Xenopus tropicalis: one gene and its partner. The protein of the gene in region 1 interacts with the protein of each later gene in a biochemical or structural test. Links are inferred from orthologs where the notes say so. Each region holds a gene or a part of one and is shown in the gene's direction. Other genes may lie near its edges.

Region 1 (7,528 bases):
ATCCCATAGAAGCCACTGGAATTATATTAAAGTTGAAATTTTCCTTTAAATTAATGTTTAGTATGTTATAGGTGGGCTATTCTAAGCAGCCTTATCTGATTTTCATTGTTTTTGAATTATTAGCTTTCTTGCTTTGGCATTCTGTCCTGGAGCTGAAAACGCTATATTGTTGTTGGGGGTTACAAACCTTAGCAACCACACAACAGCCTGACTGTGAGGCTTCAATATTATTTGCATTCTTGGATTTACTTGCTTATTTTCTTTTCAGGCAAGTTTGTATTCATCTTTTTTTATTTCAAAATTGCACCCTGGATGCTAGAGTAACTGACCCCTATCAACCAAATAATAGTTTAAATTCCTAGCCTGAGAACTACAGATTTTTTTTTTAAATAATTAAAAAACTAGAAAGGATTCTAGAAAGCATGCAGATTTTATAGTAATTAAGGAGATAAAGAATTTACTACATTTAACATTTGCAACCAGCACTCTTACTTATTAAAGGGACACTACTATTAAAATAAGAGTCTTTTTTTCTGAAACACATGTACCTAGCCTAATATTTGATATATATATATATGACCATTTCAATAGAGGGTTTTTAAACCATATTTTTATTTGCCCTACTGAATTTATAGTGATTTTTGCCGCAACAAGTTAATAATAAATATCTAGACTCCCAAAATCCCCAGTATGCAGACCCATTCAGTATTTTTACCAAACCTATCAACTTTAATAAAATGCATTTCTTTTAGTATTGTATTGATGGATAGCAGTATAAAAATTAGAACATTTTTCAAAGAAACAAGAAAGATTTTTAGTTATTTTCTAAAGTGAATTTCAACCACTCATCCAGAAGATGGCAGACATTTCCATTGCATCTTCCCTGCACCACAAAATATATTATTCATATTTATTACACAAAGGGACAAAAATGTGCATAGGTCAACTGCTGCATATTTAACATAACATGAAGACACTAGTCATACCCTTGTTGTAAATACTTTTAGAATAACTCTGAAACAGAAGCTGAAAGACATGTTGATATTCAAAAATAATTTGTTTCAAGGCTAGGGGAAAGGGGGGCACTAGGATACCTCTGTTGCATTTTCTAACTCTAGGGAGTGGCGTTTGATGGTGAGCGAACTGGGTAAGAGGGGGGGCAACGAGTAGGTTTCCTTTCCTGGGGTACCAGTCTGTACTTTCTGGCCTGGCTCTGGTTTGTATAAACAAATATCAGACTTAACTTGCAGCAGGTGTTAGCTAGTTCCTACTTGAGATGTGGCAGTGAAGTTCTTAAGGATGGTACTTTACTAAGATACAAACAGAGCCGCCATCAGAAATCACGGGGCCCGTCACAACAAAATTTTCTGGGCCCCCCTCCTCAATGCCCCCTCCCATCAGTACAAAGGACACACAGACATAAAAAGTAAAAGGGCCCCCAAAATGCTATGCTGGCCAGGGCCCCCCAATGCTATGCTGGCCAGGGCCCCCATACACAGTGCCCCCCATATGCTATGCTGGCCAGGGCCCCCAAAGAGAGTGCCCCCAATTGTCCCCTTACACAGTGCCCCCAATCTGTGGCTTCTTCTTTGGCTGCTTTTTCTGTGGCGGCTTCATCTGCAGTGGTGGTGGCTTCTGCGACGGCAGCAGCTCTGGGCTCCGCTGCGAGACCTTTTATAAGATTGCGCCCGTGCATACTGACGTCACGGATGACAGGGCCGTAATAGATTCAAAGGGGCCCAAGCTAGTCAGAAAACTGTAGCATGGCCGGGCCCCCTTTAAAAGTGAAGATTGCCTGGGCCTGGGACGACTGCCCCCCCTGTATACTCAATTAGCTAATGAAATTGGCCTTCATATGTTGAGAGTGTAATAAGGTCCTCACAGTGGTGCTTCCGTCCAAGGTTAGGTTATATCTGCTACCCCCAGCCCTTAGTAACCCCATAATACTGCATCTCAGTGCAGGGCATCTTAGGACAGTTAATACTAGCTACCCCCTACTACACCTAAGTCACACTACTGCAGCTAGTCTCACACAATCTGATCCTCATTCACTGGGCCCCTTCTCTCCAATGTCCACTGAGACACCTCTTCAACCTTCAGCCTTCTGTCCCTCCCCTCTATGTAGGGAATGCCTTTGAGCTAAGAGGCTTGTAAATTAGCAAAAAGGCCCCCAAATAATCACCTTGCCTGTACTAAGCTGGGTTCAAGGAGAACTCACCTTCCCTCCTCTATTTTATAATAAAACCAGGTGTCATTAACCACCTCACTGTCACAAATAATAACCTTGCTGTGATCTCTCAAGCACCTACTCCTCCCCCTCTCACCTCTCTACATTCCTGCTTGGGACAGAAACCCAGAGCTGCTTCCCTCCCTGCCAGCTTTCCCTTCTCTCAGTGTCTGGCCGCTCTGCAAAGACTTCTTTTCACACGCCCATTCCCGTCTGCATGAGAACCGATCTCTGATTGGTCAAACTGCCGAATAGATCCAATAACATCCCAGCTCTCTACAGCAGAACGGGTAGTGCACTCCCTGAGTTGTATGTGAAAAGCAAAGAGGCACAGGGCGAAGTATAGTCGAATGAAAAAAATGACAACCCTGAATGACTTTTCCCCATTTGACTCAGCAGGCATCCCACAAAGGGTGCAGATCCGGCCATGCAAAGTGTATCTGACTGAGAGACTTACTTTTAGGAAGCTGCCCCAGTCATTCTGCTTCCTGATAGGCTGAGTGGTTGAAGGGGCGGGCAGCCACACCCGGCTCCCTCTCAGTGACTGAGGAATCTCTTTTACCTCCTCTGAAGTTGGCTGAGTGTTCCTGTGGGCTCTGCGGTATTTGCTCTCACCATCCCTGGCCCTTTTCGGGGCATAAAACTAGTTCAGGTCAGATCTGGACGTTATCTGCCAGCACCATGTCCGTTTCGGAGGAAGTAGATGGGCTCGTTCGTCCCCACTATGGCTGTAAGTGGTACCTTTATTAGAATGGGCAGGGGCCAGTGGGTTGGCTGTGCCCTTGCAGGACTAGTGTGTTGTATACGGGCTGCGGGGCAGGGTGGCCTCTCTCTGTTTGCTGCTTGTTTGCTGGATGTGGGAAAGTGATGAGGAGAGGGCTGACGCTTTCCCTAGTGCTTCCTGCCACGGAGCTCACCCTGCGGGGGAAGTGTCCGCCTGTATTCATGCAAGCAGGGCAGGGCTGCCGCAAGGTAACTTCTTGGGGCGGATGGGAGTAGGCAGGCATGTATTTCATGTTTCTGTCTTTTTGGCACAAGTGACTTGCTGCGTATGTACTCTTCATCCAATTTATACAGTAACTTCTCAGCCCAGCCCACCATACACATGGTGCAGGGAGAGAATATGGAAGGGAGGGATACCTGTGGGCAAACCTATTGCATGCAGGGAACATGGGCAGTGTGTGTGTGGGGGGGTTGGGACTGACAGCAACTATAGCTGAGATACACTGCTGGTACTAATTGCACAGAACTGATACCCACATTGTACAGAACTGATACCTAACATTTATTATTAACTATTAACATGCGTTTATAAAGCTAATATTTCTGCAGCACTGTGCCGTGGAAGGTTCTATGCATCAAACATGCCGAATAGATTTGGAAAATAGAGTGGTAAAGAGGGCCCCCATGGATGAAACGCATTCATTAAATATCCAAAAATAAAGCGTTAAAGGGCCCTGCCCAAAATAGCTTAGAAGAAAAGAGTGTATGAGAGGCCTGGTGTAGCGGTGGGGTTGGGCAAGATCAGGAGTCACAAAGTAAGAGATGTGACATTTTACAGGTTGTGGGCTGGTTAGAAATTTTACTTGACATTTATTGACCAAATTAGGACATTATTATATCACAAAAGGCAGTCTTTGGAGCTCATAAGCAGGTTTGGTATCATGAAATAATCCTCAGAGAGCTAGATGCTGTCTGCAGGCCTTATGTATAGTGCGTATGGAGGGTAGTGCTGCCTATAGTACTGTATACAGTAGAGGTTGGCTGGATTTTGATTGTGTATGGATAGCACCATTTATTATTCATAATTGCCTACAAGATAAGAGTTTTTTTTTTTTTCATTTATCCTATATGTTTCCTTTAAGGTTGCAGTAGTTGGCATTAAGGCAAAGACACATGTGGCGATTAGTCATGCAACTTTTTAAAAAGTTGGTTGCAGCGACTTTCCTGCCATAAGTTATTATAAAAGTCGCTGCGACTAATCTCGCTGCGTTTTTGCTGTGCGAATTAGTCGCCACAAATTTTAGTTAAGTTGCGGCTACTAATTGCTACGCGTGTCTTCGCCCTTAATGTTGCCTATGCGGCTACCATCATGGCAGAACTGTTAATAGATCATATTGTTATACACTTTTACATGTACCGAACAGTGTTTCCTTCAACCCTCTCCACACAAACACATCAAAGCACAGATTTTGATCTAGGATAATTTTACACTTGGTTACCTTTTACATTGGTTGACTAAGTCACCTTTAATATGACACATTCAGTATTTGTGGGGAATAGCCTCACAAGTCTCGGCTGTGACATCCAGGTGAACCACGCTGCTGGATATTTCCAGAGGCACTAACCTGTCTGTCATGTGGTCTTAGGGGCCACTATCAGAATATTGGTTAACCAACTGGGATTTCATTTTCAAGTGGCACATGGAAAAGGGTCTGTGCTGGGTTTCAGACCTTCTTGTCTGCCACCCTTCCCCTGCCCTTCACAGCAGCTGAAAGAATACAATCACTTGCTTCTGCCTGGAATGAGGGATAGTCAGTTTTGCATCAGCAAAACCATTATCTATTTAACAGATTCACTGATCTGCTTTTAACTTACAACAACATTATTTGCTAACTGATGTCCCCCAACAGAGCTGTGTACAGCCTTATCACGCAACATTGTTATCCTATATTCAAATGACCGGAACATTTAAAGCTAATGCCACACTGGGCTGATTCTCGGCCTGCGTAGTGGGGGTGTAGTGTAGGGGCGGATTGTCATCCCGTGCTTATATGCTGGCTGATAATCGACCCCATGTGCCCTTGCCCTTAGGTATTTTTGAATTTATCTTCAAGGAAGGCATACGCTCTGTCCTTGTCTGGAAGGGTATATCTCTGGTTATGCACACTAGAATATGATAGGAATCGTAGATTAAGCTCTGGGGCAGGTACAAGCAGGTTATTTGTCTCCTAATGAAACTGACCCTAAGGGTGGAAACACACAGCTACTTGTTGTGACTACTAAAATGATGATCATTTACTGATAACTGTCTCTACATGTGTTTTAGCAGAGGCAGTTCTCAGTATTGTCTATGGCATGGTATATTCTGGCATTTAGTAGCTGCTACTAAGTAGCTTAGTGTGTCTTCGCCCTTATGTGTCAGGGGCGGGCCAAGCCGACTGGGCGCCCTAGGCAACCCTGTCGGGCACCTCGCTAATGACACGCGGTGGGGGCAATGACAGAGGAGGAGGACTAGGGGTAGGCAGGAGAGGCTCCTGCCTTTAGCCCCCTAATTGTTGAGCCCTAGGCAGCTGCCTCTTCTGCCTACCCCTAGGGATCATAGATTAAGCTCTACTGGGCCAGAGACTAATGTGAGGGTCTGTCCTCTCTATCCATCCAGCAGCTGGAGTTGCCATGCCTGCTGCTCCACACTTGGCAGGATTGTGTCTAGGAGAACTTGCTTCAGGCTAGGGTGTTAACTTTTAATGAATGGATCTTGGCAAACATATGCAGGCCACTCCTAGCAGTAGTATGTCTGACATCATTTTTCCTTTTCCCAACTGCTCAGTTCACCACATCAAAGCCCACTTTGTTTTCCATGCAGATATCAGGTCGGCAGGATAGCACATTTTAATCTGTGTTGCAGACCTATATGCATGTCATTTTTGAGAATCCGCCTCTATGCTTGAAGAATCTGAAAGTTGTGTCTGCTCCCGGAAGCATTGCTTTGACCCGGGTGCAGACACATGCAGGGTATTTCAACCAGAAACTGCGTATGCAATTCGGGGCTGAAATACGCTGCCTGTGGCTGCACCAGGGCTGAAACAATGCTTTCGGGTGCAAGCACAACTAAGATTTTTAAAGTATAGGGGCAGATTCTTGGCCCGCACTTATTAGCAGACTGGGAATTTTCCCTGTGTGGCACTAACCTTAATATGTACAAGGCTGATTTTTTTACACTGTTTAAAAAAAGATACAAGTAATGAATAATGAAAATTGTAATTTGTACTGTAAATATTAATAGGGTTTGTGTAGCTGTAATTTTTAGCAATAATTTGACCAATACATGCGCCTGATGACGTTAGGTTTATAAATATATTTACATTGTTTGGTGTGCACCTCTTTGTGTTGTGGATCTGTCTGTCTGTTCTATTTCTCAGCATGGTGGCTCAGTGGTTAGTATTGCAACCTTGTTGCAGTTCTGGCTTGGTTCTGACCTGGGCATTATTTGCAAGGTGGTTTCATGTTCTCCCTATTTCCTCTGAGTACTTCCAGTTTTCTCCCCCTTACTCAAAATTATACAGGTATGTTAACCAATCCTTAAATAAATTGGCTGGGTTTGTGTGTGTATGTCAGGGATTTTAGACTGTAAGCTCTGCTGGAACAAGGCCTAATGTTTCTGTAAATCACTTTATAACATGCATGACAGTGGTATTTCAATAAAGTGAATAATATAATGAATAATAGTTAGAACGATAGATAAAGGAAAGAAGAGCAGAGAAGAGAAAAGTGAGAAAGGAAAATTAGAAAAGAGGGGAGGGCAAAACTATAATCTATGTATGGTGACATAGGCAAAGGAGAAAGATGGAGGTAGTGGGCACCAATGCAACAACCCAGGAAAATTATGCTTTCAGTAATATTCACACCTGTTCATCTGCCAGCATCTAACCAGTCAGTAGGGTTCGGGTAATTTTAGTATGTGCAATTTTTATAACCTAATTTAACTGGAATACCTGGTTGGTTTTCCAAATTGTGAGCCTGATAAAAGTGTGATGCAGATATATTAATGTATGAAGCGTAGCTGCTCCAGGCAAGTCTAATCAGAGTTCTGGGGCATGCCACTACTCGTGCTTCTTTATAAGTCAAATTAAATGTGCAGGGTGCGTTACAGAAAATATCACATTGTTTTGCATGAGAAGGTTTGGTTAGCCCCTCTATTGTATAACATTAAAAGGGCAATTTTCAAGTTTCATAGATGCTTATGGGGCAGAAAGATTTTACTTAGAGACCCTAATGAAAAAAGTGTAGACACGTATTAGCATGTACAGCTTATTCTTTAAATAAGCAGCGAAGTGTTAAGCTGTGGCTTACCCTGTGCACAGAGCATTCTTTGTCTCTGCATTTGTATTTATATCCTCACAAAGCAGTGGGAGTGTTTTTAGGCTGAGGCATTCTGTGATTTTCTTTATAGACACTCAAGGTGCTAAAGCATTCCTTCCAATTGTGCTGTTTTGAATTGTGGACCATAAAAAAGGGCTGGCTTACTGTTGGGGTAGAGGGCTGGTAGATCATGGTGCATGGCTGTGGTGGGTACTTCCA
Region 2 (7,558 bases), about 100 Mb from region 1:
GAATCTCAGCCATAAAGCAGGGCAGGACTGCTGCTTACAATGGGGGGGGGGATCAGATAGGATCTGTGCCATTGTGACAAAATGCTCTGTTATACAGATAGCTAGAATCTCAGCCATAAAGCAGGGCAGGACTGCTGCTTACAATGGGGGGGATCAGATAGGATCTGTGCCACTGTGACAGAATGCTCTGTTATACAGATAGCTAGAATCTCAGCCATAAAGCAGGGCAGGACTGCTGCTTACAATGGGGGGGGGGATCAGATAGGATCTGTGCCATTGTGACAGAATGCTCTGTTATACAGATAGCTAGAATCTCAGCCATAAAGCAGGGCAGGGCTGCTGCTTACAATGGGGGGGGGATCAGATAGGATCTGTGCCATTGTGACAAAATGCTCTGTTATACAGATAGCTAGAATCTCAGCCATAAAGCAGGGCAGGACTGCTGCTTACAATGGGGGGGATCAGATAGGATCTGTGCCACTGTGACAGAATGCTCTGTTATACAGATAGCTAGAATCTCAGCCATAAAGCAGGGCAGGACTGCTGCTTACAATGGGGGGGGGGATCAGATAGGATCTGTGCCATTGTGACAGAATGCTCTGTTATACAGATAGCTAGAATCTCAGCCATAAAGCAGGGCAGGACTGCTGCTTACAATGGGGGGGGGGGATCAGATAGGATCTGTGCCATTGTGACAGAATGCTCTGTTATACAGATAGCTAGAATCTCAGCCATAAAGCAGGGCAGGACTGCTGCTTACACTTGGGGGGGATCAGATAGGATCTGTGCCACTGTGACAGAATGCTCTGTTATACAGATAGCTAGAATCTCAGCCATAAAGCAGGGCAGGACTGCTGCTTACACTTGGGGGGGATACCTGCTATCCCACAGCCCCAGTCCCTTCCCAGAAGACACATTCAGTTACTGGGAAGGAGTCTGTGAAAATAAGACAGGTATAAGGAGCTTTGTACATGGGGCTCTTTCATATAAACAATTATATTTATGTATACTATAGGTAGAACTATGAGCAGATGTGTATTTCCCTCACAATCCTAGCAGGGTTGTTGGCTGATCTCTATAACAGGTGCATATAAGGTGAGTGCAAGGTGTTATACTCCTCCCAGTGAGCATTTTAACAGGCAATATTTCCCCAGGGGCTACTGTCAGCTCTGAGTGTGTAATATGGTGGTGTGTTGAGCTATGTTCTAGCAATATTCACAATAAGCACTCACCCCAAATCCCCCCTAACTGGCCTTCAGGCTGGGCCCCCTTAGCCCATAACAAGGTTACAGATATATAGAAACATTGGGGTAACAGTCACCCCGCTATAGTTCCAGGGGTACCCAGGGCACAAATAAGCACTCACCCCAAATCCCCCCCTAACTGGCCTTCAGGCTGGGCCCCCTTAGCCCATAACAAGGTTACAGATATATAGAAACATTGGGGTAACAGTCACCCCGCTATAGTTCCAGGGGTACCCAGGGCACAAATAAGCACTCACCCCAAATCCCCCCCTAACTGGCCTTCAGGCTGGGCCCCCTTAGCCCATAACAAGGTTACAGATATATAGAAACATTGGGGTAACAGTCACCCCGCTATAGTTCCAGGGGTACCCAGGGCACAAATAAGCACTCACCCCAAATCCCCCCCTAACTGGCCTTCAGGCTGGGCCCCCTTAGCCCATAACAAGGTTACAGATATATAGAAACATTGGGGTAACAGTCACCCTGCTATAGTTCCAGGGGTACCCAGGGCACAAATAAGCACTCACCCCAAATCCCCCCCTAACTGGCCTTCAGGCTGGGCCCCCTTAGCTCATAACAAGGTTACAGATATATAGAAACATTGGGGTAACAGTCACCCCGCTATAGTTCCAGGGGTACCCAGGGCACAAATAAGCACTCACCCCAAATCCCCCCCTAACTGGCCTTCAGGCTGGGCCCCCTTAGCCCATAACAAGGTTACAGATATATAGAAACATTGGGGTAACAGTCACCCCGCTATAGTTCCAGGGGTACCCAGGGCACAAATAAGCACTCACCCCAAATCCCCCCCTAACTGGCCTTCAGGCTGGGCCCCCTTAGCCCATAACAAGGTTACAGATATATAGAAACATTGGGGTAACAGTCACCCTGCTATAGTTCCAGGGGTACCCAGGGCACAAATAAGCACTCACCCCAAATCCCCCCTAACTGGCCTTCAGGCTGGGCCCCCTTAGCCCATAACAAGGTTACAGATATATAGAAACATTGGGGTAACAGGCACAAATAAGCCCTGGGGTCCCTGAGGGAAATCAGCCCGGTTACAGACTGCTGTGTGAGGTACCGGCCCGTATAATACTTCAGTGGACGGAAAATGAATACATGACGTCAGGGATGCTCCGGGGTACGCGCTTACTGCACCTGCACAGCGGGGCGGAGCTAGCGGCAGAGGGTTCTCCCCGGTCTGACGTAAATAAACCCCCTAGTTAGCGCCGCCCCTCTGCTTTCTGATTGGACGCGCTGTTGTCGGGTACGCGCACGCTCAGTCCGCCCCTCCCTCTCCGAAGCCTGGGAAGACCTGGGTCGGCCGAGCGGGTGCGCGCACCATAGTATCCCTCATGCTCGCTCCCGCGCCTCCGGACCACTTCAAGATGGCGGCGGTAAGTGGGGGATCAACCGAGGGGCCCTCACTGCTCAACGGGGACCTGCTGGAGTCCGAGACCGGGGGACTGGGCGGAGCCGGCGAGATGTGTGCGTCCGGGGGGTACCCGGAGGAGGTGAGAGGGTGAGGGATAGGGGTGGAGTTGGGGAATGGGGGGGGCCTAGGCTATACTAATGTGCAGGGGTCCCCCCCTCAGCCAGTGGTTTATCTCTGTCCGGACTGTACCATTCTCCCTTTATAATAATATACGTACCTTATAGATCTATATATATATATATATATGTATCTGTCCCTCAGTGCCTGGGCTGTACCACTCTATATAATATTACCTGTACAATATATCTATATATGTGTCTGTCCCTCAGTGCCTGGGCTTTACCACTCTATATAATATTACCTGTACAATATATCTATATATGTGTCTGTCCCTCAGTGCCTGGGCTGTACCACTCTATATAATATTACCTGTACAATATATCTATATATGTGTCTGTCCCTCAGTGCCTGGGCTGTACCACTCTATATAATATTACCTGTACAATATATCTATATATGTGTCTGTCCCTCAGTGCCTGGGCTGTACCACTCTATATAATATTACCTGTACAATATATCTATATATGTATCTGTGTCCCTCAGTGGCCTGGGCTGTACCACTCTATATAATATTACCTGTACAATATATCTATATATGTGTCTGTCCCTCAGTGCCTGGGCTGTACCACTCTATATAATATTACCTGTACAATATATCTATATATGTGTCTGTGTCCCTCAGTGCCTGGGCTGTACCACTCTATATAATATTACCTGTACAATATATCTATATATGTATCTGTGTCCCTCAGTGCCTGGGCTGTACCACTCTATATAATATTACCTGTACAATATATCTATATATGTGTCTGTCCCTCAGTGCCTGGGCTGTACCACTCTATATAATATTACCTGTACAATATATCTATATATGTGTCTGTGTCCCTCAGTGCCTGGGCTGTACCACTCTATATAATATTACCTGTACAATATATCTATATATGTATCTGTGTCCCTCAGTGCCTGGGCTTTACCACTCTATATAATATTACCTGTACAATATATCTATATATGTGTCTGTGCCCCTCAGTGCCTGGGCTGTACCACTCTATATAATATTACCTGTACAATATATATATATTTATATATATATATATATATATGTGTGTCTGTGTCCCTCAGTGCCTGGGCTGTACCACTCTATATAATATTACCTGTACAATATATCTATATATGTATCTGTCCCTCAGTGCCTGGGCTGTACCACTCTATATAATATTACCTGTACAATATATCTATATATGTGTCTGTCCCTCAGTGCCTGGGCTGTACCACTCTATATAATATTACCTGTACAATATATCTATATATGTATCTGTGTCCCTCAGTGCCTGGGCTTTACCACTCTATATAATATTACCTGTACAATATATATATTTATATATATATATATATATATATATGTGTCTGTGTCCCTCAGTGCCTGGGCTGTACCACTCTATATAATATTACCTGTACAATATATATATTTATATATATATATATATATATGTGTCTGTGCCCCTCAGTGCCTGGGCTTTACCACTCTATATAATATTACCTGTACAATATATCTATATATGTGTCTGTGCCCCTCAGTGCCTGGGCTGTACCACTCTATATAATATTACCTGTACAATATATATATTTATATATATATATATATATGTGTGTGTCTGTGTCCCTCAGTGCCTGGGCTGTACCACTCTATATAATATTACCTGTACAATATATATATTTATATATATATATATATATATGTGTCTGTGCCCCTCAGTGCCTGGGCTGTACCACTCTATATAATATTACCTGTACAATATATATATTTATATATATATATATATATATATATGTGTGTCTGTGTCCCTCAGTGCCTGGGCTGTACCACTCTATATAATATTACCTGTACAATATATATATTTATATATATATATATATATGTGTCTGTGCCCCTCAGTGCCTGGGCTGTACCACTCTATATAATATTACCTGTACAATATATCTATAAATGTGTCTGTCCCTCAGTGCCTGGGCTGTACCACTCTATATAATATTACCTGTACAATATATCTATATATGTGTCTGTGTCACTGACTGTCTGGGCTGTACCACTCTATCTGATATTACATGTGCAGTATAGCTATATATATGTGTGTGTCTGGACTATACCATTCTCTATGTAATATATGTACAGTATAGACCTATATGTGTCACTCTTTGTCTGGGCTGTACCACTCTCCCTATAGAATAACTATATGTGCAGTATAGATCTGTATCTGTGTCTCTTGGTGTCTGGGTTGTATCACTCTTTATATAATATATATATATATATATATATATATATATATATATATATATATATATATATATATATATATATATAGATACACTATAGATCTATATGTATCTATCACTCTTTATATAATATTATTTGTACAGTATAGATCTATTTGTGTCACTCAGTGTCCGGGCCGTACCATTCTCTCTATAGATAATATTATTTGTACAGTATAGATCTATATGTGACTACTTTGTAGCAATGGAGAAAGTTACTTCTTTTATTTGAGTTTTTATAGCAAGGGAGAGCTGCTACTGTGTTGCACTTATTGTGAAGGGATAATGTACCCCCTACTGTAAATGATAAGGATATTCGCAGTCACTGAGGGGTTCTGTGCCCATATAAAGGCACAAGGCTGCAGGCTGAGTTATACAGGGAACTCTGAGTATCACTCATGTATTATAAGGGATAATGTACCCCCTACTGTAAATGATAAGGATATTAGCAGTCACTGAGGGGTTCTGTGCCCATATAAAGGCACAAGGCTGCAGGCTGAGTTATACAGGGAACTCTGAGTATCACTCATGTATTATAAGGGATAATGTACCCCCTACTGTAAATGATAAGGATATTAGCAGTCACTGAGGGGTTCTGTGCCCATATAAAGGCACAAGGCTGCAGGCTGAGTTATACAGGGAACTCTGAGTATCACTCATGTATTATAAGGGATAATGTACCCCCTACTGTAAATGATAAGGATATTAGCAGTCACTGAGGGGTTCTGTGCCCCCCATATAAAGGCACAAGGCTGCAGGCTGAGTTATACAGGGAACTCTGAGTATCACTCATGTATTATAAGGGATAATGTACCCCCTACTGTAAATGATAAGGATATTAGCAGTCACTGAGGGGTTCTGTGCCCCCCATATAAAGGCACAAGGCTGCAGGCTGAGTTATACAGGGAACTCTGAGTATCACTCATGTATTATAAGGGATAATGTACCCCCTACTGTAAATGATAAGGATATTCGCAGTCACTGAGGGGTTCTGTGCCCCCCATATAAAGGCACAAGGCTGCAGGCTGAGTTATACAGGGAACTCTGAGTATCACTCATGTATTATAGGGATAATGTACCCCCTACTGTAAATGATAAGGATATTAGCAGTCACTGAGGGGTTCTGTGCCCATATAAAGGCACAAGGCTGCAGGCTGAGTTATACAGGGAACTCTGAGTATCACTCATGTATTATAAGGGATAATGTACCCCCTACTGTAAATGATAAGGATATTAGCAGTCACTGAGGGGCTCTGTGCCCCCCATATAAAGGCACAAGGCTGCAGGCTGAGTTATACAGGGAACTCTGAGTATCACTCATGTATTATAAGGGATAATGTACCCCCTACTGTAAATGATAAGGATATTAGCAGTCACTGAGGGGTTCTGTGCCCATATAAAGGCACAAGGCTGCAGGCTGAGTTATACAGGGAACTCTGAGTATCACTCATGTATTATAAGGGATAATGTACCCCCTACTGTAAATGATAAGGATATTAGCAGTCACTGAGGGGTTCTGTGCCCCCCATATAAAGGCACAAGGCTGCAGGCTGAGTTATACAGGGAACTCTGAGTATCACTCATGTATTATAAGGGATACTGTACCCCCTACTGTAAATGATAAGGATATTAGCAGTCACTGAGGGGTTCTGTGCCCATATAAAGGCACAAGGCTGCAGGCTGAGTTATACAGGGAACTCTGAGTATCACTCATGTATTATAAGGGATAATGTACCCCCTACTGTAAATGATAAGGATATTCGCAGTCACTGAGGGGTTCTGTGCCCATATAAAGGCAATAAGTGCCTAATAATTGTCATAAAAATGTTCCGGTCCCAGAGAGAGATGAAGGAATGACCATAATGACAATAAAGAATGAGTTGAATTGTATATAATGCGCCTGAGCAATGTGCCAATATTCATTCCTTCCTCCCAGGGAGCCTTATAGCACACGATTAAAGGGGAAGTAAAGGTCCTATACTGCCAATGGGCAAAGCGCTGCCGAGTATTATTGGCGCCTTTGTGCCTCCATCCCTCTGCTGGCACCGCCCCCCAACAAGTCTCTGCTTTCCTCCTTTCATGTACCTCCTTTCCTTTTTATTTATATATATATATATTTTTATTTAGCATTTTGTTCAGCTTCTAACTGGTTGCTAGAGACTAGTTTACCCTAGCAACCAGGCAGAATGAAAGACAGGAAGATGAATAGGATGGGACCCGAATAGACCAATTAGGACCTAGAACTTCAAGAAGTGTTACTAAATGGCTGATACGGTGACATTTATATGTGGGTTAAACCTAATTATGGAGTAACCCCCCCCCCCCCAAAAAAAATACTATATTTCCCAAAATGCTGCTGTCTACTAAAACACAAGGCAGGATTATGTGCCCTTTACATGGACAGTATCCTAGCTTTCATCAACGAGCCAATGTGGTCCCTGATCTGACTGAAAAATCAAACCCGCCCCCCCTCACTCTGTACATAGGGACCCGCCCCCCCCTCACT

What was found. The genes of interacting proteins can lie anywhere in the genome.
Region 2: the proteins of iqgap1 (region 1) and braf form a complex in vitro, tested with the Homo sapiens proteins (2 studies listed by BioGRID and IntAct). The link is inferred for Xenopus tropicalis from reciprocal best matches to the Homo sapiens genes IQGAP1 and BRAF.

Annotation. Positions count from the first base shown.
Region 1 is NC_030679.2:106,914,261-106,921,788, reverse strand, and holds the start of iqgap1 (ras GTPase-activating-like protein IQGAP1), read left to right. Parts: upstream 1-2,571; 5' UTR 2,572-2,908; coding exon 2,909-2,957; intron 2,958-7,528. UniProt on the Homo sapiens protein: Plays a crucial role in regulating the dynamics and assembly of the actin cytoskeleton.
Region 2 is NC_030679.2:5,553,609-5,561,166, reverse strand, and holds the start of braf (serine/threonine-protein kinase B-raf), read left to right. Parts: upstream 1-2,510; 5' UTR 2,511-2,599; coding exon 2,600-2,758; intron 2,759-7,558. UniProt on the Homo sapiens protein: Protein kinase involved in the transduction of mitogenic signals from the cell membrane to the nucleus. Phosphorylates MAP2K1, and thereby activates the MAP kinase signal transduction pathway. Phosphorylates PFKFB2.